Linked DNA regions of Notamacropus eugenii. The protein of the gene in region 2 binds, or shares a complex with, the protein of the main gene of each other region. Links are inferred from orthologs where the notes say so. Each region holds a gene or a part of one and is shown on either strand. Other genes may lie near its edges.

The links. The genes of interacting proteins can lie anywhere in the genome.
Region 1: HBS1L (region 2) and PELO share a complex: the UniProt entries of both Homo sapiens proteins name them as parts of the pelota-HBS1L complex. The link is inferred for Notamacropus eugenii from reciprocal best matches to the Homo sapiens genes HBS1L and PELO.

What each region holds. Positions count from the first base shown.
Region 1 is NC_092875.1:410,126,500-410,137,018, reverse strand, and holds PELO (protein pelota homolog), read left to right. Parts: upstream 1-5,176; 5' UTR 5,177-5,506; coding exon 5,507-6,232; intron 6,233-6,720; coding exon 6,721-7,152; 3' UTR 7,153-9,750; downstream 9,751-10,519. UniProt on the Homo sapiens protein: Component of the Pelota-HBS1L complex, a complex that recognizes stalled ribosomes and triggers the No-Go Decay (NGD) pathway.
Region 2 is NC_092873.1:221,008,840-221,019,654, reverse strand, and holds the start of HBS1L (HBS1-like protein), read left to right. Parts: upstream 1-5,997; 5' UTR 5,998-6,093; coding exon 6,094-6,136; intron 6,137-9,390; coding exon 9,391-9,456; intron 9,457-10,815. UniProt on the Homo sapiens protein: GTPase component of the Pelota-HBS1L complex, a complex that recognizes stalled ribosomes and triggers the No-Go Decay (NGD) pathway.

The sequences.
Region 1 (10,519 bases), on a different chromosome or scaffold from region 2:
ATGCTTCATATCAATTTAAGGAAAAGTTCATTTATGCCTATACTTTCAAGTATTTTTAATAGACATTAGTGTTGTATATTATCAAATGTTTTTTCTGCATCTATTGATATTATCATATGATTCTTGTTATTTTTATTAGTGATATAATCAATTATGCTAATAGTTTTCCTTATGTTAAACCATCCCTGCATTCCTGGGATGAATTCTGCATCATCATAATGTATAATCTTTGTAATATATTGTTGTAATCTTTTAGATGGTATTTTACTTATGATTACATATGATCCATATGCATTAATGAAACTGGTCTATAATTTTCTTTCTCTGTTTTTACTTTTCCTGGTTTAGGTATCAATAGCATATTTATTTCATAAATAGGGTTTGGTAGGATCCCTTCTTTGTCTATTATCAGAAGAGCTTTCAATGTCAACCAGGGCTTTTTATAGTTGATCTTAGAGGTAATAAGGAGACACAGGAGTTTACTGAGAAGGGGACTCGTGTTCAGATCTGTGCTTTAGAAAATCCCTTCAGCTACTATTCAAGGGTGGATTAGAATTTTAGAATCAGAAGATCAAATAGGAGGCTATTGCAACAGTGAAGGTAAGAGTGATGAGGACCTGAGGTCACTGAGTGAGTAAAAAGGAGTCTTACATGAGAAAGGTGGAGATTTAAAAAAGAAAAAATATTTAACAACAGATGGAATATATGGTTGTGAAAGAATGAGGAGTTACTGCTGAAACAGGTTGAGAACCTGACTAGAACAAGAGCAGTGGGTAGAAACAGTAAAACTGGGAGGACAATGAATTTGGATGTGTTGTGTATGGGTTGCCTATCAAGAATCAGCTTGATGTTTGTTGTGGCAATACAGCTATCTCCCTAACCATTAACTCACTGTAATACTGAGACCTGTGGGATGGGATGAGGGGACATGGAAGAACCATGTGACTGCATTTCGTGTTGTATTACCTTGGGATTGAGTCAGGGAAAAAGAGTTCTTTTAGGAAGGGGGTGGAGACGGAGTAGATATGGAACGCATAAAGACTCCCTTGTTCAAAAATGTGTCTATCCTTTTGTTATGGGGGACTGGCATGTGCAAAGTATTGGGGACTGTATCTCCTCAAATGGGAGGGCTAGGGAGGCTGACTGTGGGAAAGTCACAGTGACATGTAATAGAAATGCCTCAAAGAGATCTTGGCATTGATTTAGACATTCTATAACTGGTTCGGCTAAATTTCTCTATCAGTGAAAAGAATATTATACAAATGTTCCAGGCTTGAGACCTGGGTTACAGCTAGTTGGTTGTTGTTCAGTCATGTCTGACTCTCGTGACCCCATTTGGGGTTTTCTTGACAAGGCTACTGGAGTAATTTGCCATTTTCCTTCTTCAGCTCATTTTACAGATGAGGAATTGAGGTCAGCATTATTAAGTGACTTGCCCAGGGTCACACAGCTAGGAAGTGTCTGAGGCCAAATTTACACTCAGGAAGATGAGTCTTTTTGACTCCAGGCCCAGCACTCTATCCACTATGCCACCCCGCTGCTCTGGGTTACAACATATTTACCAATTAGAAACTTTTTGGGGGAGAGGGGCAGGGAGAGAAATCAAATCAAAGCTAGAAAATATTGTTTCACACCTTAGAAGGAATTACTTCAATCAGACATCAAGACTAACACCTGGACCAGATTTCTTAACCTTTTTTTTGAGTCATGAACCCTTCTGACAACCTGGTAAAACCTATGAACCTCTCCTCAGAATAATGTTTTTAAACTCATTAAATAAAACATATAGGATTAGAAAGGAAACCAATTATACATGTACCACAGGCAGCCCTGACCCCTACCACCTGAAGGCCAAGGGTGTTAGATTTTACCATTTCACCCCTTTCTTAGGGTTCTCTGGTATCCTTAAGAGGACTGAGGGGTGTGTGCCATTGGCTCCAGCTCCAACTAATGGTATTCCCCCATATATAGGGGGTGTGATTCCCTGCATCCTAGTTCCTATTAGCCAGTAACAGCCATAGTAGCTTTTACACAGAAATCTTTACTTCAAAAGGTAGAATCACAAACATACAAATTTACTCCCCCATCATGTGGGAGGCATAATCCTCATCCTCTTTGGACCACCCCAGTGCCTGGAGAGGGGAAAGGAATTAGATTCATAGTTTAGCTCAGTTCCAAGACCAAAATCCCTCTGGGGCTGGAGTCCCCATGTACCCTGGCTTCTCTGGCCTTCCAAGCCAGGCTGGCTGGATGCACCACCCTGTCTGCAATCCTGGCCTCAATTTTGCCAGGGTTCAAACTCCTGGGGGAGGGGGATCATTTATGCAGCTAAGAACAAACAACATAGAACAAAAACACGCGCTCCCAGGTCCATTTCTCAGGGCGGACAGTCCTTTCCCTCTCACCAGTTCAGTTACAGGCATCCCCACCATGGGTAAACTGGGTAGATGTATAGTAGCAGAAAGAGATCAACCTGCTCAGTCTCACCGATTTTAAAGATGCAGGTAGCCAGTCAAAGGATACTAAACCCACTCTTGTGGTAGGGGAACCACTGGGCTCCATAGGCAAACTGGGAATGCTCAAAAGGCCCCTCAAGTAGACCTCTATGTTAGACAAACTGGGCATGACCCAACACACTCAGGTTATAGACAAATATAATTATCAAAATGTTTTTGTAAAAACAAATTTATAGACTCGAGGTTAAGAACCTCTTAATTTAGATGAATGTTGCTGGGCATTTACAGCAAGACTTTTGAATGCGAAAAGGTACAGAACAAGAAGCATTCTTGGTGAGATAAGGGAATTTGGATGGCCAAAGTCACTGTTGCTAACCTTAACTCAGAGACTACTGTACAATAAGCAATCTTCTAATGAAACCAGGTAGTATGAGCAGTTGATCTGGATCTTGGTTGAAAACTTTTTGCCTGACTTATCCAATTGTTCCCCCATTTTTTTTTCTTGATTTTGGCCAGTAACGTTTGGCCCCACAGTACTGTGAAGAGAACTGTTTCCAAATCCAGCATTTTACACAGGCTACTGATCTGCAGAAAGTGCAGATTGGTAGTTTTGGATTCTGCAATTCCCAGGACACTGGGTCAAGTAACTCCAAGGCTTTCTAAATGGTAAATTCCACAAATGCTTTCTGCCTCTGGAATCAGTGCTTTTTAACTATTAGTTAAAACTAGGTCATGTGAGGACAGTTGGAAAGATCAGAAAGTCAATCTAGTTGGTTAGGCATGCAAAGCTGTAATGCCATTTATTTTGGAAACCTGACACACAAATCCCACATGTATACCCAGCTCAAAGTGGCAATCTGTTGAGTATGCACATGGGAGCTGAGGGAAATGGTGGGCTGCAGTGATCTGTCAGGATTAATGTCACCCACCCTCCTGAAAGCGATGACGTTTGTAGATGGTCCTTAAGAGCTCTGGATGTGGAGCCAAAGGGTCTCACTTTGAATCCTTCCATTTATTCCCTCTTAGACCTTGGGCAAGTCACTTAACCTCACTGGACCCAATTCCTCATTTCTAAAAAGAAGAAAGAAAGAGAGAAAGGATGAACTCTGTAGTTCAGTTACAGGCATCCCCACCATGGGTAAACTGGGTAAGATGTATAGTAAAAGAAAGAGATCAACCTGCTCAGTCTCACCAATTTTAAAGATGCAGGTAGACAATCAAAGGATACTAAACCTACCCTTGTGGTAAGGGAACCACTGGGCTCCATAGGCAAACCGGGCATGCTCAAAAGACCCCTCAAGTAGACCTCTATGTTAGACAAACTGGGCATGACCCAACACACTCAGGTTATAGACAAATATAATTATCAAAATATTTTTGTAAAAACAAATATATAGACTCCAGCTTAAGAACCCCTGAATTTAGATGAATGACTAAAATCATTGACCCTTTAAACCAGAGATTGCTTTTCTTTTTTGTGTATATCATGGATTATGCTGCTAAAAATTAGCACCCAGCTATCTGATACAATAATATCCACAATAAACTTTAAAGCTTAACCTGCATTATTAGCATTTTAACATCAGTTAATTTAACACTGACATTTTAATATTCCATCACTCTTCAGTCTAGGCAATCAACCAAACAATAAATCATGCCCTGAATTGTAGTTTGCCAATTTGAGGTGTAAATGCTCACTCTGAAAATTTAACAGTGTACTAACTGCTTCCAGCAAGCCCATGCATGCACCCCCTTTGCAGTCTGGTGGAGTCTGGGGACTCTTCTCAGAATGTTTTTAAATGCGTAAAAATAGAAGTCATAGGACTACAAAGGAAATCAATCATTAATCAGCAAACATTTATTGAGCACCTACTGTGTGCCAGGTGCTGTGCTAACTGCTGGGGATACACAATAGTAACTAACATTGAACGTAGCACATAGTAAGCACTAGGCATGACACTAAGAGATTTACAATTGTCATCTCCTTTGATCCGCACAACAGTCCTGGAGGTGTGGGGGGGTGTATGTATGCACATGCATACGTGCGTATGTATACATATGCGCACATGTTTTACATAAAATATTATATATTTTCCACTTACAGATGAGAAAACTGAAGGAGAGGTTGTTAGGTGACTGGGCTGGGCTGGCACAGCTAGTAGATGTCTCAGGCCACATTTGAACTCGGGGATCTTCCAGGTCCCAAGCTCTATCCACCTCCCCAACTGACTTAAAAAAAAATTACACTGAACTACAGGTATACAAAGATTTTCAGACATATTCACAGATCCCTTTCTGTCTTTGATCCAATAGACTATTAGCCCTCGGTGTTCAGGGCTTGTTTCAGTTTTATGTGTTCTCTTCGGGGCTGGGTACACAGAAGCGTTTAATAAATGCGTGCTGAATGTTGAATGAATGACGCCCTCCCAGTTCCAAGGCTTGGGGCTCCATGAGAGCCGTAGTAGCAGGGCTGCGCGCAGAGGCTTCCGAGACGTCCCGGTGCCCCTCCTGACCACGCCGGCCACGCCCCTCCAGGCCACGCCCTCTCGGCCACGCCCCCTCCCGGCCACGCCCCTCCCGAGGAGCCCAGGCAGCGGCGGCGCCGCGGGACCAGTGCTAGCGGACCCGTTCACTCTTCTCTCAGACACAGCCAGCTCCGGCGAGCGGAGGCTTAGTGCTCAGTGAGCCTGCGCACGCCGCATGCGCCGTCCACCGCTTCCGTAGCTTTACGTACGCCAGTAGAGACGTGGCTGGGGAGGCGGTCTCTTGCGCAGGCGCACTAAACAGCCCCCGTTGAGTCCGCGCTGCCGGCCGGTCTGAGAAGGGGGCGGCGGGGCTAAGAGGCTCCGGGTCTTGACCGCGGCGCCCTCCCACCTGGGCGGCGGGGTCCTGAGCGCCGCGTGCGGGAGAAGGAAGGTTCTCTGGGGCGCTCTTCTCCTCCTTCCGCGAGGCGAATACCCGCCCGGCGGGGCGGCGGCCGCCAGAGCCAGGCCGGAGGCGGCAGGGCCCGGCCCCTTCCCCCCTCCCTCCGGCCGCCCCCCGCCGCCAGCATGAAGCTGGTGAGGAAGGATATCGAGAAGGACAACGCGGGCCAGGTGACCCTGGTGCCCGAGGAGCCCGAGGACATGTGGCACACGTACAACCTGTTGCAGGTGGGCGACAGCCTGCGCGCCTCCACCATCCGCAAGGTGCAGACCGAGTCCTCCACGGGCAGCGTGGGCAGCAACCGCGTGCGCACCACGCTCACCCTGTGCGTGGAGACCATCGACTTCGACTCGCAGGCGTGCCAGCTGCGGGTCAAGGGCACCAACATCCAGGAGAACGAGTACGTCAAGATGGGCGCCTACCACACCATCGAGCTGGAGCCCAACCGCCAGTTCACGCTGGCCAAGAAGCAGTGGGACAGCGTGGTGCTGGAGCGCATCGAGCAGGCCTGCGACCCGGCGTGGAGCGCCGACGTGGCCGCCGTGGTCATGCAGGAGGGCCTGGCCCACGTCTGCCTCGTCACGCCCAGCATGACCCTCACCCGCGCCAAGGTGGAGGTGAACATCCCCCGCAAGCGCCGGGGCAACTGCTCGCAGCACGACCGCGCCCTGGAGCGCTTCTACGAGCAGGTGGTGCAGGCCATCCAGCGCCACGTCCACTTCGACGTGGTCAAGTGCGTCCTGGTGGCCAGCCCCGGCTTCGTGCGGGAGCAGTTCTGCGACTACATGTTCCAGCAGGCCGTGAAGACGGACAACAAGCTGCTGCTGGAAAACCGCTCCAAATTCCTTCAGGTACAGTAACCCGCCTAGCTGAAGGGCTGACCCAGATTAGAGCTTAGGGGTTGGCATCAATGTTAATACGTTGTGTAGGAGGGAGGACGTTTAGAGGGATAGGGAAATGACCTTTTTCTTAATCATGTCCAGTCATCCTAAAATGTAAGCCTGGCACTAAGAGAAAATGAATGTCCCATTTTTTCCACATTCATGTTTTCTTACCCTTTTAGGGGAAAAATGATTTAGGTATGCTTAACAATAGGCAGTTTGATGCTAAGAGACTTAAATGATCAACCTGTGTTATGAAGTCCTTATGAAGCATCTCTACATAAGTAAATATACATAACTTTAATGTGTAAAATACATAAGTTTAATGCCTTGCATGTTTTGACATTTTGGTTAGGGTTGATGTGTTTAACGTTAATTGAACAAGTATGAGTTAACTTTTAAAAGGAAGAATATGTGCTCTAAAATATTTCATCCAACCTCTGTAATTGTGATTCCAGGTACATGCCTCTTCTGGGCACAAATACTCGTTGAAAGAGGCCCTTTGTGATCCTACTGTGGCCAGCCGCCTCTCAGACACCAAGGCTGCTGGTGAAGTCAAAGCCTTAGATGACTTCTACAAGATGTTGCAACATGAACCTGACCGAGCTTTCTACGGACTTAAGCAGGTGGAGAAGGCCAATGAGGCCTTGGCAATTGACACACTGCTCATCAGTGACGAGCTCTTCAGACACCAGGATGTAGCCACCCGAAGCAGATATGTGAAATTGGTGGACAGCGTCAGAGAGAATGCAGGCACAGTTCGGATATTTTCTAGTCTTCATGTATCTGGGGAGCAGCTCAGCCAGTTGACTGGAGTTGCTGCCATTCTACGCTTCCCTGTCCCTGATCTCTCTGACCAGGAGTCTGGTTCAAGTTCTGAAGAGGATTGATGATGGGCACCTCTAAAAAGACACTATGTACCACCCAACTCCTTCACCTACATAAACTAATATGTAAAACAAATATTCTCAAATCTAGTACGAAAGCTGCTAGGGAGGTTCAGTTTCATTTACGTGAGTGGGTTTTTCTTGTCAGGCTAGTCTCTTTGTATTGGAAGACCAATACAACTAGAAAATAAATTAAGATAAAAGTAATGTCTAATTTTATCCTTATTCACATTGACAATTACTTTTAGGAAAAAAATGGTTTAGAAATACTAATAATATGCAATTGATACTTAGGATAAAAGTTTTTACATCAGCTGCATTCACTGTGTACTGTACTGGGGTTAAGCTACTGTTTCTATCTCTTCTTCATATTTTCAGAGTGCATTGCAGGAATTTTACTTAGTCCTCACAAATAACTAAACTGACAGTGTTTTTTGGAAGATGGATAGAAAATTCACCAAAGAAAACCTAAAAACTGACACTATTGTTTAAGGAAATTACAGGAATTGAATGAAATCATTTCTAACATGCCAAGAAGCCATTGTGCTTTATCCTTAAAAGTTAACTTTATGCTATTTGGTGCACTACTTAACCTACTATTCATAGAGTTTTAGAGCAGGAAGGAACCTTTGTAAATGTAACACTTTTATTTTAGAAATGATAAACTCAGGTCCAGAGAAGTTAAAGTGACTTTCTTGAGGCCAAGCAGGTAATTATTAGCAAAGATCATAGTGGAATCCAATTTTGACTTCATGTGCAGTGGTCTTTCTTTTTACTTATTTTGATTTGTCAAATTTATTAATAGTTGTAGTATTAGAATTTCAAGTTGACTAACTGGAAGCTTTAAAGCAGTATTTTCTAGATTCTAAACAGTTTTCATTTAGTCATGCAATTGCATCATGATTGAATAGAGCCTGTATGTGGAAAAATAATAAGATATGTTTGACTTTTTTATAATTGAAAAGGGTTGCTAGGTAATTCTCTAGTTCACTAAAATGTCAGTGAATGATCTATCCCTGTTTGAAGTGGTAGATTATATTTTGTTTATGGTCTGTGGGTATCAAGTGGAAAGTTTTAGACATTCATTAACTCCTGATCAGTCCAAAATGATATGATTTATTTCTTGTTCTGACAGTTGACATATGTAAATGAAATCTACTGATAACACGATCAATTTTAGTATTTTTCAGGGGCCTTCTGAAAACTATCTTCACAAAGTTGCTAACCCTGAGTAAAAATAGATCTTCTAAATCACACACACACACGCTTTAAATAAGCTTATATTGTCCTTGACAAAATGAATGGCATTAAGCTACTATAACAGATATGATGGTACTTTAACTTAACCTCTAGAACACTTCATTTTCAAATGCAGCAAAGCAATAGGATGATACCTCTATCGTTAGCTTATGCTAACCGAATATGGCAGATCATTAATATGTAGAGATTTTGATAGTTTGACATTGTGCATATATTAATTACTGTTTCAGTTTTGTTGATCTTAATTTGAACTTTGTTTGCAGTGAAAATAACTGGATTATTCATGTGAAAGTTGTACTAAAAAATATCCAATAATTTTGACCATTGCATCACACTTCCCAGGAAGGCATGTCCTATAGTCCAGAAAATTCTGCCTTAAGCAGATTTTTTTCTGTTGTCAAATGACCAATAATGTGCTCACATGTAGGCCATGCTTTAAACAAAATTAAGTCTTTTAAAGATACCCATAACAGTATTAAGATAATTTGCATCATTGTAATTTTGAGGGGCCATCTGGAAGTCAGGAAGGCTTGGATTTAAGTACAGTTTCTGACATGGTGTTCTCTTGGGCCTGTCATTTAATTTCAGGCAACTCTTTCAGACTAAATTGCTAAGTAGTTTCTGGTCTACTTTGATTTTGTCCAGGGAATTTACTCATTAAGAATTCTCTGTATCAGTGAAATCACAGGCAGTACTACCCCACCCCCATCAAAAAAGCATTTAAATCAGTAAGGTCTGCTTGTGTTCAGATTTTAATTCTTTTCTCTCTATAGTAATCAAATACATACCTGAAAAAGTTCTCTAATATTTAATAACTTGTATGCCAGATAATGAAATTAGCGTAAAGATTTTTATTTCCAAATCTGTTTAAAAATAGGAGTGTTTTGGGAGTTAGTTTTCTTTTAAATCTGAGCAAAGCAGACCATTGAATGTTTTATGTGAAGAGCATCTGGAATTTGCAGGATTCAGAAAAGGAGAGGATTCCTAAGAGAGATTCTGAGAGTAGGTTAGTGGAAGATCTCTTTAGGGTCCTCAGATTTAAATATGCCATTGATTAAGAATAAAACTTTTCAAGTAATGTAATGGTTCCTTTTATGCTCTTAAAATTCTTGCTGCCTTTAATAACTTAAAAACGTGCCATAGCTTATACCTTTCAGAAATATATTGGTGTACAAATATTTATCATTTTTCAGTTGGAACAGTTTGAAACTTGTTTTGGTTTGCCTTATCTTGAATATCTGAAATGCAATGGTGCTTTACTTCAGTATGCTCAACTTGAAAAAAAAGAAAAAGACAAGTTTAGGAAAGTTCTTGAAATAAAAATATTGTAAGCTCTGAAAATGGAGTAGTTTCTCCTCCTTTGTTCAGTCATTTCTGACTTTTTTGTAACCTTGTGGGCCATGCTGTCCGTGGAGTTTTCTTGGCAAAGTTTGAAATGGTCTACCATTTCCTTCTCCAGTGGATTATGGTAAACAGTAGTTAAATGACTTGTCCAGGGTCGCACAGCTCATATGTATCTGAGGTTATATTTGAACTCAGGCCTTCCTAACTCCAGTCCCAGCACTTATCCACTGAGCCAACTAGCTGCCTTCTTCCATGCTAAGTAGTCTTTAAGGATCTTTTTCTGTAAAATTATCCTTCATCTGTACCCTTTGATATCATTAGCTACAATTGACTCCCCTCTCGAGACAGCTTACTGTTTATTTTTTAATCATTCAGAAATCTTGTTGGGAGAATTTTTTTTTTCTGGACAATGAAAAAAGTTCTAATTACATCTAAATGAAAAATGTCAGTGTGGATGTAGTTGACTTCCTCCGGTAGTGTATCAGTTTGTTGGTATAGTAACTGGACAAAAATAACTCATTTAGATAGTTTCGTTATCATCTGAAAGCCATGATTATTAGTCCTTTTGATTCTGTTTCTCCCTCTCCACCCCGTTGCTACAGAAAGGGGCTTCATGGTACTAAAAACCATATTCTATTTTCCCCAAATAGGTAACCATGGCCAAAGAATTTGTTACTTCCAACTGTTAGGTGTTAGGTATGATGAGTTTTAGACTGGTCCTCAGCAGATCATCTGTATCATGACCGTATCTGAAGCATTTCCTTCA
Region 2 (10,815 bases):
CAGGTCTTTCTCTTCATTTCTCCATTTATAGGCTCAATGCCAGGGTATAGTTCAGGTAGATGATTAATCATTAATCAATCAGCTTTACACAACCTTTAAAAAGAGCCAACAAATTAGCCAGTACAAGGTGAGCTGACACCTTATCAAGAAGATATAATCAGTGAAGAAAGGTTAACAATCTTAAACTTGAAAAAGTGATGTTTTTTTCAAGGGAAGCACACAGGAAGGCTTTACAGGGGTGGGGAACCTGCAGCCTTGAGGTCACATGTGACCTTCTAGGTCCTTAGGTGTGGTCTTTTGACTGAGTACAAGTTTTACAAAACAAATCCCAGAATTTGTTCTGTAAAACTTGGACTCAAAGGATCACACTTGAGGACCTAGCAGGCCACATATGGCCTCAAGGTTGCAGGTTCCCCACCCCCTACTCTACACTAAGTTCAAATTTCATAGAGAAAACATTATTTTAAAGATAACATCTCCTCATGGTTATATTTTCACAGAAAAGAAAGCTGTTTGAGTCCTTTGGTTGGGGCTTAAGGGAGATCAGGAAATATAGGGAGATAGCAGTTTTTAACCAGAATTTCATATGCAACCATTGAATAACACAGTCCTAATTACATGATAACATGAGTTCTACTGAGTTCTTACAAAAATCTGTGTTTTAAATTTTATAGCTCCAGATATATGCATATATATATTGTAAATTAATTATTCAATTATAATTCATTCATGAATTATATCAAACTATAATTCATATATGAATTAAATTATAATTCATATATGAATTATAGATGAATGTTATATATGAAGGTAATATATATTACCTTCATCTGTCTGCCCTGAAATAATCCACAGAAATTAAAATTCATCTACTGAATCTCTTTTGCAAATTGGTTTCAGCTTTCCTGAATAACATGGATTTGTTTGATCATGCTTTCAGTGGTTCTGTCAAGTAAAGAATCATTAAAAGATGGTAAGGTGCTGAGGGGAAGCAGAGGGTAATACATCTTCTTTAGTGCTATTCTCACTGATGAAGCTGTGTGTTTCTGATGTTGAAGCACTTGTTAATGCCAAGATTTTTGGTGGTGAGAATTCTCCTCTCCAGGTCTTCAGCATCTGTGCAGGAGGGGGCCATATTACCAGTTAGTTTGGTCAGCATTTGGAGATAGTAGTCAAGATAGTAGTGGTGGTTTGATTCATTTGAAATAAGCTGCCTTCTCTCTCTGCCTCAGGGTACCTTGCTGCTTCAACTAGAATGACTTGTCTGTTCCATAGGGGCAGTTGATTAGCATTTGGTGAGGATGGCTCATCTTTTCTTGACAGAGGTTGCTTTCCTGCTTTAGGAAGAGCTTTGAGGCTGGGTTAGAAGTGCCAGTAGCCTGGAGGTGTCCCAGTTCCTAGGGTCCTTGGGCTTACCTGCATGTTTGTGGCAATTGGACTGCAGGAATAAGATTGCTAAACTGGTGCATGTCCAGAGAGCAACAAAAATGATGAGGGAGCCTACACATTATGGAATATTAGGATGGATTGAAGGAAGTTAGGAAGTTTAGTCTGAAGAGGTGAAAGGAGTTGAGGTGGGAATGATAGTTATTTCATCAGCATTTGATGGATATTCACATGGAAGGACTACATTTGTTTTACTTGGTGCTAGAGTGTAAAACCAGGAGCAATAAGTGGAAATCCCAGGGAGGACGTTGTAGAAAGATAAACTTCCTAATGATTAGTTACTCCAAAGTGCAATATGCTGTTTGGAAGGCAGTGGGCTCCCTTTTACTACGGTAGGAATTCTTAATCTTTTCTGCATTATGGACCTTTTTGGTGGCATGGGGAAGCTGACGGACCCCCTTTCTCAGAATGTTTTTAAGTGCATAACAATAAAATACATAGGATTAAAAGGAAACCAAATATGTGTGTGTGTGTGTGTGTGTGTGTGTGTGTGTGTGTTTAAAGCTCATGGACACTAGGTTAAGAATCTTATTACTGGAGGTCTTCAAGCAAAAGCTGCATGGCCATTTGTCAGGTCAATTGTAGAGAGAATTTTTTTCACAAGCATAATTTGGGCAAGATGGCTTTAAAAGTCTCTTCCAGTTCTGAAATTCTGGGTTCTGATTTCATAGCATTCAATAGATTTAGGTAATTATGATGATGTCTGGGCTGTTAAGAGTAGCCAGGAAAAATGCAATTCTGGTGCTTTATTTTTTAATGAAAATGAAGAAATGGAATTACCAATTTCTATTGAGTAAGAATCATCTTAATGTTACAATGGTAAGGAGCTAAGATCTTTTTGGCTATAATAAGAAGTCCTAAATTTTGATTCAGAATTGGTCTAAAATTATACAAGATTGGGGAAAGACTAAGAATTAGAGGTATCTTGCTGGATTAATTTCAGTTCACATGAATTCCTGATATATAACAAAGTGCTTCTTTTCTTCACGTAATTTTACAGAAGAAAAATTATATTGACTTAAAGGAGTTTTTTAACTAATTAAAGGAAATTTTTCTCTAACAAAGATAATGTGACAGGAAAATTCCCCTTTGAACACTTGTTTATTTATTTGTGACCAATGTTTTATATGCTACCATATAAAGGAGGACAAATCAGGTATTAATATACACAACACAGAAGTATTGTGGATGTAGTAACTAACTTCAACATATTCCATTATGACATCCTTAAGCATCTCCAAGTAGATTATCTGCTTTGTATAGTCTTTAACAATTTTTCATATTGACCTGCCATTCTTGGCTTCTTTTTTTTTTCTAATTGTGTATGGTCAAGGAACATAAATTCTGAGATTAGTCTATGAAGAAATATAAAAAAATAAAACTGAGGGAAACAAATAATGATCACGCTGAATACAAATATTTTGAGGCTTACCCCATGTTTGGACTATTTTCATTGTCTCTCCCTTTCTTTAGCATGGATTTTAAATAGTTAACTTTTTGCGTTTTTAGCAGCACTAGTAAAAAAAAACAAAAAACATCCTTCAGCAATATCCTATACTTCATTCGATCTGTGATGATGCTGATGTGGGTACTCCCTCTGTTGGTGTGGATCATAACTTATCCATGCCTTCTCATCCTATGCAATTCTAGTTCATATTCTCCCATAAGAACTCTGCAAGGGGTCCACCAAACATGATGGAGGTCTTTTGTTAGAACTTTTGACACTAGATAGATTCCAAAGTAATATTCATGGTTTATCTACCACATGGCTCTTAATGTGTGACTAGTACATCTTCTTTTTCCATCATACATCTGATTCCATCCTTTCCTATTGCTTTTGTCATTAGTGGCATATTCACACCCACTATACATCCCTCTCCATTGTTTTTGGGCTCTTTTCAACTTTAATTCCCAATTGACTCTGGTACTCCATGACTTCAGGCATATAACACCACCAGAAGAATACTTACATCAAGGAAATGGGCCCATGTTTCAAGGAGAAGCTTGGGATAATTAAGATCACTACACAATGTACTCAAAGTAATTCAACCTGTTCTATTCTTTCTCAGTACTGGTCCAAGATAATTGTCCCCTTACAGGACACGTCCAATATATATTTACTGATGAACCATGCCTCAAGATTGTTAATTCTCCTCCATAAATAGTTTGGACAATAGGCATTCTTCATTTGGTTGGTTTTTCCTGTGTATGGGTCTCATTTTTGAGGCTCTGTAATATTCTGGGGCTTGATGCAATTAGTATAATGTCATGAGGTGGGGAACTGGACCTCTAGCTCCTCAAGTATGGCCCTTTGACTGAATCCAAACTTCATAGAACAAATCCCCTTAATGAAAGGATTTATTCTGTAAAACTTGGACTCAGTCAAAAGGCCCAACCCAAGGAACTAGAAGGCCATATGTGTCCTTGAGGCCACAGGTTCCCCAACCCTGTAACAGGACTATCTAAAGACTTCACCCTCTATAGTTAATTTGTCTTTGATTTGGACAATGTTAGACATACTCCGTAACAGTAGAAAATTGTTACAATGAGCAGACCCTTCCCTGCTGATCTCAATAATCATAGGGTTGTGGAACAAAGTTATGTCTTTTGTCAGTGAAACAGGGGCAGTAGAAAGAATGCTGTTTTTGGAGTCAGGAAGGCCTGAGTTCAAATCTAGTCTTTGATACTTATTAGCTGTGTGACCCTAGGCAAATTATTTAAGTTCTATCCGCCTCTCTTTCTATATCAATAAAATGGGAAAAAATAACAGCATCCACATATCAGGATTGTTGGGAGGATAAAATGAGATCGTAGTAATTTGTAAAATGCCTTATAAAACTTAAAACATTATGTAAATGCTAGTTATTTTCTGGATGAGCTGGCTTATAGAATTCTTTGTTCTTATTTTTGTGATCAACTGATTCATATCAATTAAACTTAGGAAATAGTAATAGTTTGGGTAAATGTTCTTTTAGACATTTCCTTATTTTTGTTTTTCTAATTTTGTATTGATTTTTATTTTTGCTTGAACAAACAGGCAATCTAATTGTACATTGATTTGGAGATGATTCCAGAAGTGACCGGTCATTTCCTGCCTGTTAAAATACCATTTCATTTTTTTGCGAGTTGATTTGATACTTACTCTGTCTAGCATCTCCCAGTTCCCTTCTCTAAAATACACAGCATGAAAGTCCTGCATATTCTATGAATCTCAGGCCTCTTAGATGTCACCCTTGAAAGCATATTTGCCAATATTCTTCCCTATGCATAGTTTGCTTTAAAATCAAAGCATTAAAACACACGATCTAATTTGTAGGTGAGTACTTCATGAAATTTTTCTACTTTTTCATCTTCAAAAGATGTTGGCACATCAACTGTAATTATTTTCGTGGTTGTCTTTTTGGTAAATACTCATAAATGCAATATGAGTCCATGTAAAAGTCTAATGGAAGTATTCATTCTTCCTTAGAGATGCTTGTTTATTCTTCTTTTTAGATGTTGGATAAAACCAATTCCAGTCTTTGCTTCTGCAAGGATAAACCAGGAACCATCCTTCCATTTAGCTATAATTTTTTTCTCTCTTCTGCTTTCCTTGTAGGGCAAATGTCCAAACTGCTACCACTCAGCTCCTCCAGGAAAGTACAAAAGTGATAGCTAACAGCAAAACTTAGCTTATGATAAGAAAGATTAGGAAAGGCCACACTGTACAGTGGATAGCCACTTAGTTTTGAAGTGAGGAATACTTCGGGTCAAGTCCCAATACAATAAGCTTTATTTTTAATTTAAAAATTCAATAAAACATTAATTTTCTCCACCCACTGGAGGGAAAAAATAACGAAACCCCAAACTCTTGCAACAAAGACGCATGGCCGAGAAAAATACATTCCCATGGTGGCCAGATCCGAAACTGTGTGTTCCGTCTGCATATTTAGTCCATCAAGAGAGGGTAGCAATCTTCTTTAACCATCAGCAAGCAAACCACTGGAGGGGAGGGGGAAGGGAGGAGTGGGAATGGGGGGAGGGGGGAGGGGAGGAGGGGAGGTTTGGGAGGGGGTGTACCAGCCCCACTGCAGAGAGCTGGTCTACTTTACATTCTCATCCGTCTACGCCAAAAAGCTCACTTTTTTTCCAACTTCTGACTTATTCTACCATCTCCACATTTATCCCAAATATCTCAAAACAACTGATTAACTCTTACGACAACTCGGGCCAGTTTTGCTCTATTCCCGTCACCTCCCACTAAGTAGTTGGAACCAAATAAATCTCACGTGTGGAAGAATCCAGGCGGCACCACGTGACAAGGTCGGTGCTGGGGCAGCCCCGTCTCTTGCAGGCTCGAGGCGTGTGGGCGGAGCTCCAGTACGTAATCCCCCCCTTCTCGCTTGCTACCAATCATTGCCATGGCGTCGGGGGAGTAGGGAGTGGGTGGAGTGCATCGAGTCTCAGCGCGCATGCGTTTTGAGGAGACGTCGCCGTCCAATGCGTCATCGCGCGTGCGCAGAACCTTTGCGGAGAGCTTTGCCGGAAATCAACATGGCGTCCGAGCGCTCTTCGGGCCGCAGTGGCTGGCGCGACCGCATCTGAGAAAGGTAGTCTAAGGGAGCCAAGGCAGCGGGGCGCGGTGGTGGAGCGGACGCCGGAGTCGCCATGGCGCGGCACAGGAACGTTCGAGGCTACAACTACGATGAAGGTGGGTACAAAGCCCGGTCCCTCCCCCTGCCCCCCTGGGCCGCGGCCTCCGGCCCTGCGGGGTTGACCGTCTGCTTTGCTCCTGGCCTCTGTTTCGGCCGCTTCCCTCCGGATTCTCTGGGCACCTAGGGCCCCGGAGTGATGATTTCGGAGCGTGGAGGCCAGGACAAACTGGTGGGGTATGATTTGGCATAAACACATTGGATAAGGGAAAGATTTGTCAAAGCTAGGAAAGAGGGTGACCCAGCTGCTGGGGGGGTGCCACTCGTGGTCCTCCTTTTTCTTTTGTTACGTGGGGGGCGCGCGTAGACTGTCGGGTGGGACTTTGACCAAGGTAAGGGTTTGGTTGTGCTTAGCCCCTGCCACGTAGTAGGCGCTTAATAACGTTTATTAACTTAATGATGCTTTTCCAGGGTGACTTCTTTAAGGTGTGTGCATGCACCCATAGTGCCTGCCCCCTCCCCACCACGTTAGTTGTCTTTTTTGCACTCTCCATCTCCTTTAAAAAAAAAACGAGCTCCACCAATTAAAAAAAAAAACCAAACACAAACCACCACCTAGTTTGGGGATAGCTTTTTGTAATACTCTCCAAGTGAAGTTTTTGTTTTAGGGTTGTTGTGTTGGTATAAATATGCATAGTCAAAATGTTCAGTATCACACTTCGAAAGATACGTCTTCTCGTTTACTTGCGCACTGAAGAATTGTATGAACGAATTGATTATCTTCTGGCCTTGTTCCATTTGAATTTCTTGTTAAATTAGGAGTTCAGAATCAACAGGTGATGATAAAAGTCCAAAGAAAAGAAACTGAAATGATCAGTGACATTCATATGAGAATAGATGAGACCGAGAGGAGATCCTAAACAAAGACTGTACTACAAGTCATGGTCGTGGCTGTGGTGAATTTGGGCCTGTACACCAAATCCAAAATTGTTGTATAAAGGAGGAACTTGGAATGAATTTGTGTGATGACAGAAAGTACTTTCTTACACAGTGGATGTCAAATAAGTGGATCTAATTATTTAAAAATATGTAAACCAATTCAGGGAGCAATTTAGCAAATTTGGTAATTTATATAACTTTTTCCTCTATTAAATTTAAATGTCACAAGAGCAGATCCTTTCCTTTCACTTCTGTATTCTCTAGCTACAGTTCTCAGCATAGAGTAGGCACTCAATGTTTCTTTAATATAGTTACCCACAGTAGAATTTTAAAAGGGAAGGTAGAGATTCATTACATATCCTTAAATGTTGGTATCGTAGAGCAACTACAACATATACTTACACAGTTTTTGTTGTAAATCTGTTAGGTACCCATTATGATTTGTTGTGCTTCTGATATTGCTAAAGCTTGAATCTGAGTGCTGTAGATCACAGATGTTTGCGTAAACTGCATCACATTAAGTGGGAGGTCTGCTGAAAACACAACAACATAGGAATGGACTTAATTATTTCTATATTTATACATTTTGTTTTTGAACTTGACACCTAAATTTTTTCTCATTTTACTAACCCTCCTGAGTTCAGGTTGCCATGTTTTCTTTGGAACAGCTGTGACATAACCACTTTAATTGTGGCAGGAACAATTTTGATCATCTTGTTTTGTCTTAGGTGTTTGTGATGACATTTGTTTTCTACAATAACTAAAACCCCCTAAATCATGAGTCAGCATGGTGAATTTTTTTTTTAAGGAAAGTCATTTTATTTTGAAATGTTTTTTTGTTTACTTTTTTTCAAAAAAATTGCTAAAGAATGAATGAATTACTTGATATGTTTTAGCTGAGCTACTTGTTAAAATTAAACTTGCTGGTTTCATTTAAAATGGTAAATTTTAGTTTTCTGTTCTCTCTATGCCCAGAGGTGGTTTTCCCCCTGTTTTTCTTCTTCTTCTTCTGAGAATTTTTCAGTCTGAAAATCAGATTCCTTTCTGATTGATACTTAACTCATTTTTATGAGTTAGTGGTATTTACTTTTAAAGATAAAAATTTATGAAATATATACCAGTTACCCCCTTTTTATTCTTGGATCCCACTTTCTGAATTCTTGCTCATTTCATGGACCTTTTTGGGATTCGTGGATTATTAAGACCCTAAATTGTTCTAAGGTAGACATCCATACCTAGTCCTTAGTTTACTACTAAGCTCTACTTAGTACTTAAGTGCTGCTAAGTTAACTACTTTCATTGTTTCCATGACACTGTCTCGCCATCTCATCATCTGCTGTCCCCTTTTCCTTTTGCCTTCAGTCTTTCCAAACTTCAGGGTCTTTTCCAATGATTCCTATCTTCCCATTATGTGACCAAAGTATTTAAACTTCAGCTTTAGTATTTCACATTCCAGTGCATAGCCTGAATTAATTTCTTAAAGTACTGAATGATTTGATCTCTTTGCTGTCCAAGGGACTCTAAAAATCTTTTCTAGATCCACAGTTCAAAAGCTGTAGCTCTTACAGCCATGTTGCTACTGGAAGAACCATAGCTTTGACTATATGTACCATTGTTGGCAAGGTAATATCTCTGCTTTTTAGTATGCTGTTCAGATTTGCCATAGCTTTCCTTCCAAGAAGCAAGCATCTTTTAATTTCATGGCTGCTGCTGCTTTCTGCAGTGATCTTTGAACCCAAGAATATAAAATGAACCCAAGAATATAAAATGAACCCAAGAATATAAAATGTGCCACAGTTTTTCTCCGTCTTTGCCAGGAAGTGATGGGACCAGTTGTCAAGATCTTAGTTTTTTGTTGTTAAATTTAAAACCAACTTTTATGGTCTCTTCTTTCACCTTCCTCAGGAGGATTCTTAATTTCAGCTTCACTTTCTGCCATCGGAAGGGTATCGTCTGCATATCTGAGACTGTTGATATTTATATTTGGATCATATAAATAACATGGAGTCACTGGAGTTTATGAAATGGGGGGGAGGGTGACATAGGTATATGCTGACAGCTGAGTGAAATAAACTGGAACTGTTCAACCTTTTGATTCCATTACTGGATATGTATGGGTAGGAGGTCAAAGATAGAAAAGTCCTATATGTTTCCAAAATACTCATACTTTTTGTACCAAGAACTGTAGAAAGCAGATCCCATTGAAAAGGTACTCCAGTCTTTAAAGATAGTTTCAGTCTTTGAAATAGTTGTTAGAATAAAATATGCCAGGGTCCTTTTAACATAGACATGTGTTTATTTTAATGTTGAAAGCATCATTGATTAGAATAAGATCACTTGATATTTGTGTTAACTTGTTGTATATTTCATTTAGATTTTGAAGATGATGATCTCTATGGCCAGTCTGTAGAGGATGATTATTGTATTTCACCATCAACAGGTACGTATTCAGAGTCTTGATATGGGGTTTTGAAAAAACGGTAGATAAAAGTACTTTTTTTCTACCGTGAAGGTATCAAAAGAAAGCCGAATTGTATAAGCTCTTTGAAGTCGAGGACTGTTTTTCATTTTGTCTTTGTAGTCTTGGAATCTAGCAACAGTTCCCCATACGTAAGAGGTACTTAATACATACAGTTGGATTGAATTGGGAGAAAAATACTTAATTATGCATTTGAACACATGGGTTAAATAGTTTTACCTATAAATAAAACCATATGATTTTATTTCTGCCTTTTAAGATTTTAAACAACTTGTAGAAAAATGATGTGTATGGTTTTTCTTATATGTTTTGGAGATGAGAAATACTTTTCTTTGGTGGTGTGGAATGCTATGTTAGTGAAATGAATATTGGTTCTGTAGTCATGTTAACGGCGTGTGAGAATCCTGCCTCTGCCACTTCAGATTTGCAACATGATTTATCAGGTTTCTTCTAGTTTTAAGTCTTATGAGACTCATTCTAATTTGCTTCTGCTGGAATGGCAATATGTTGAGTAATATTACGGAACTTCACATGTGTTTTTGGCAAAGCTTTTTACTTTTCATTCTCTGTTAGTAGTTATTGGATAATTTATATATATATAATATGCGTATTATGTATATACTCCCAAATATTAGAGGACTGATTTTTCATTTCAGAGTTGTTTTGTGGGTGGTCTTATAAGTAAAGCTTGAGGCAATACTGTAATCCTTTTCTTTAGTTGTAGTTATCTTACATCAAAAGCAGTTCTTTGGTCTTAATTTTCTTCTTTAAGGGACAGGACAAAGGCTGGAGCAGAGTTCTACGTTAAATCTTTTGTATATTGCTAATATTGAGGCATTTTATAAACCTGTTAATGTAGCCTGCCAATTCCAAAAATTTGCATGTAGGTTGTACTTTAGAATGCATTTCTGCAGAGAAATGGTGTTATGAAAATGGTGATTAGATTCCAGAGCTGTCCCACAAACTTTATTTAGTCCGTAATGTACCTGAAGAGCGTAGTTTAGTGAATAGAGAGTCCTAGACTTGGAGTCAGGAAAGAAGAATTGAACTGAAATTCTGACATTGATAAGTCATTTCCCTAAGTCATATGCAAGTCATTTAAGACTGTATAAATTAGAGATGGGGGAGGGGAGACTGGTGTTTGTATATGGATCTCTGAAGTATAACATTTTACGAATAGTACTGCAACAGAGTGTAACTGACATTAATGTTTATTTTGGTAAATATATTTGGGATTCCACCTGAAGAAACCAGAGGCATAGCTCTCCATTTCCTTCTGGTAATCTAAATGCTGGTAGAGCCTTTGTGATTTGGGGGGTA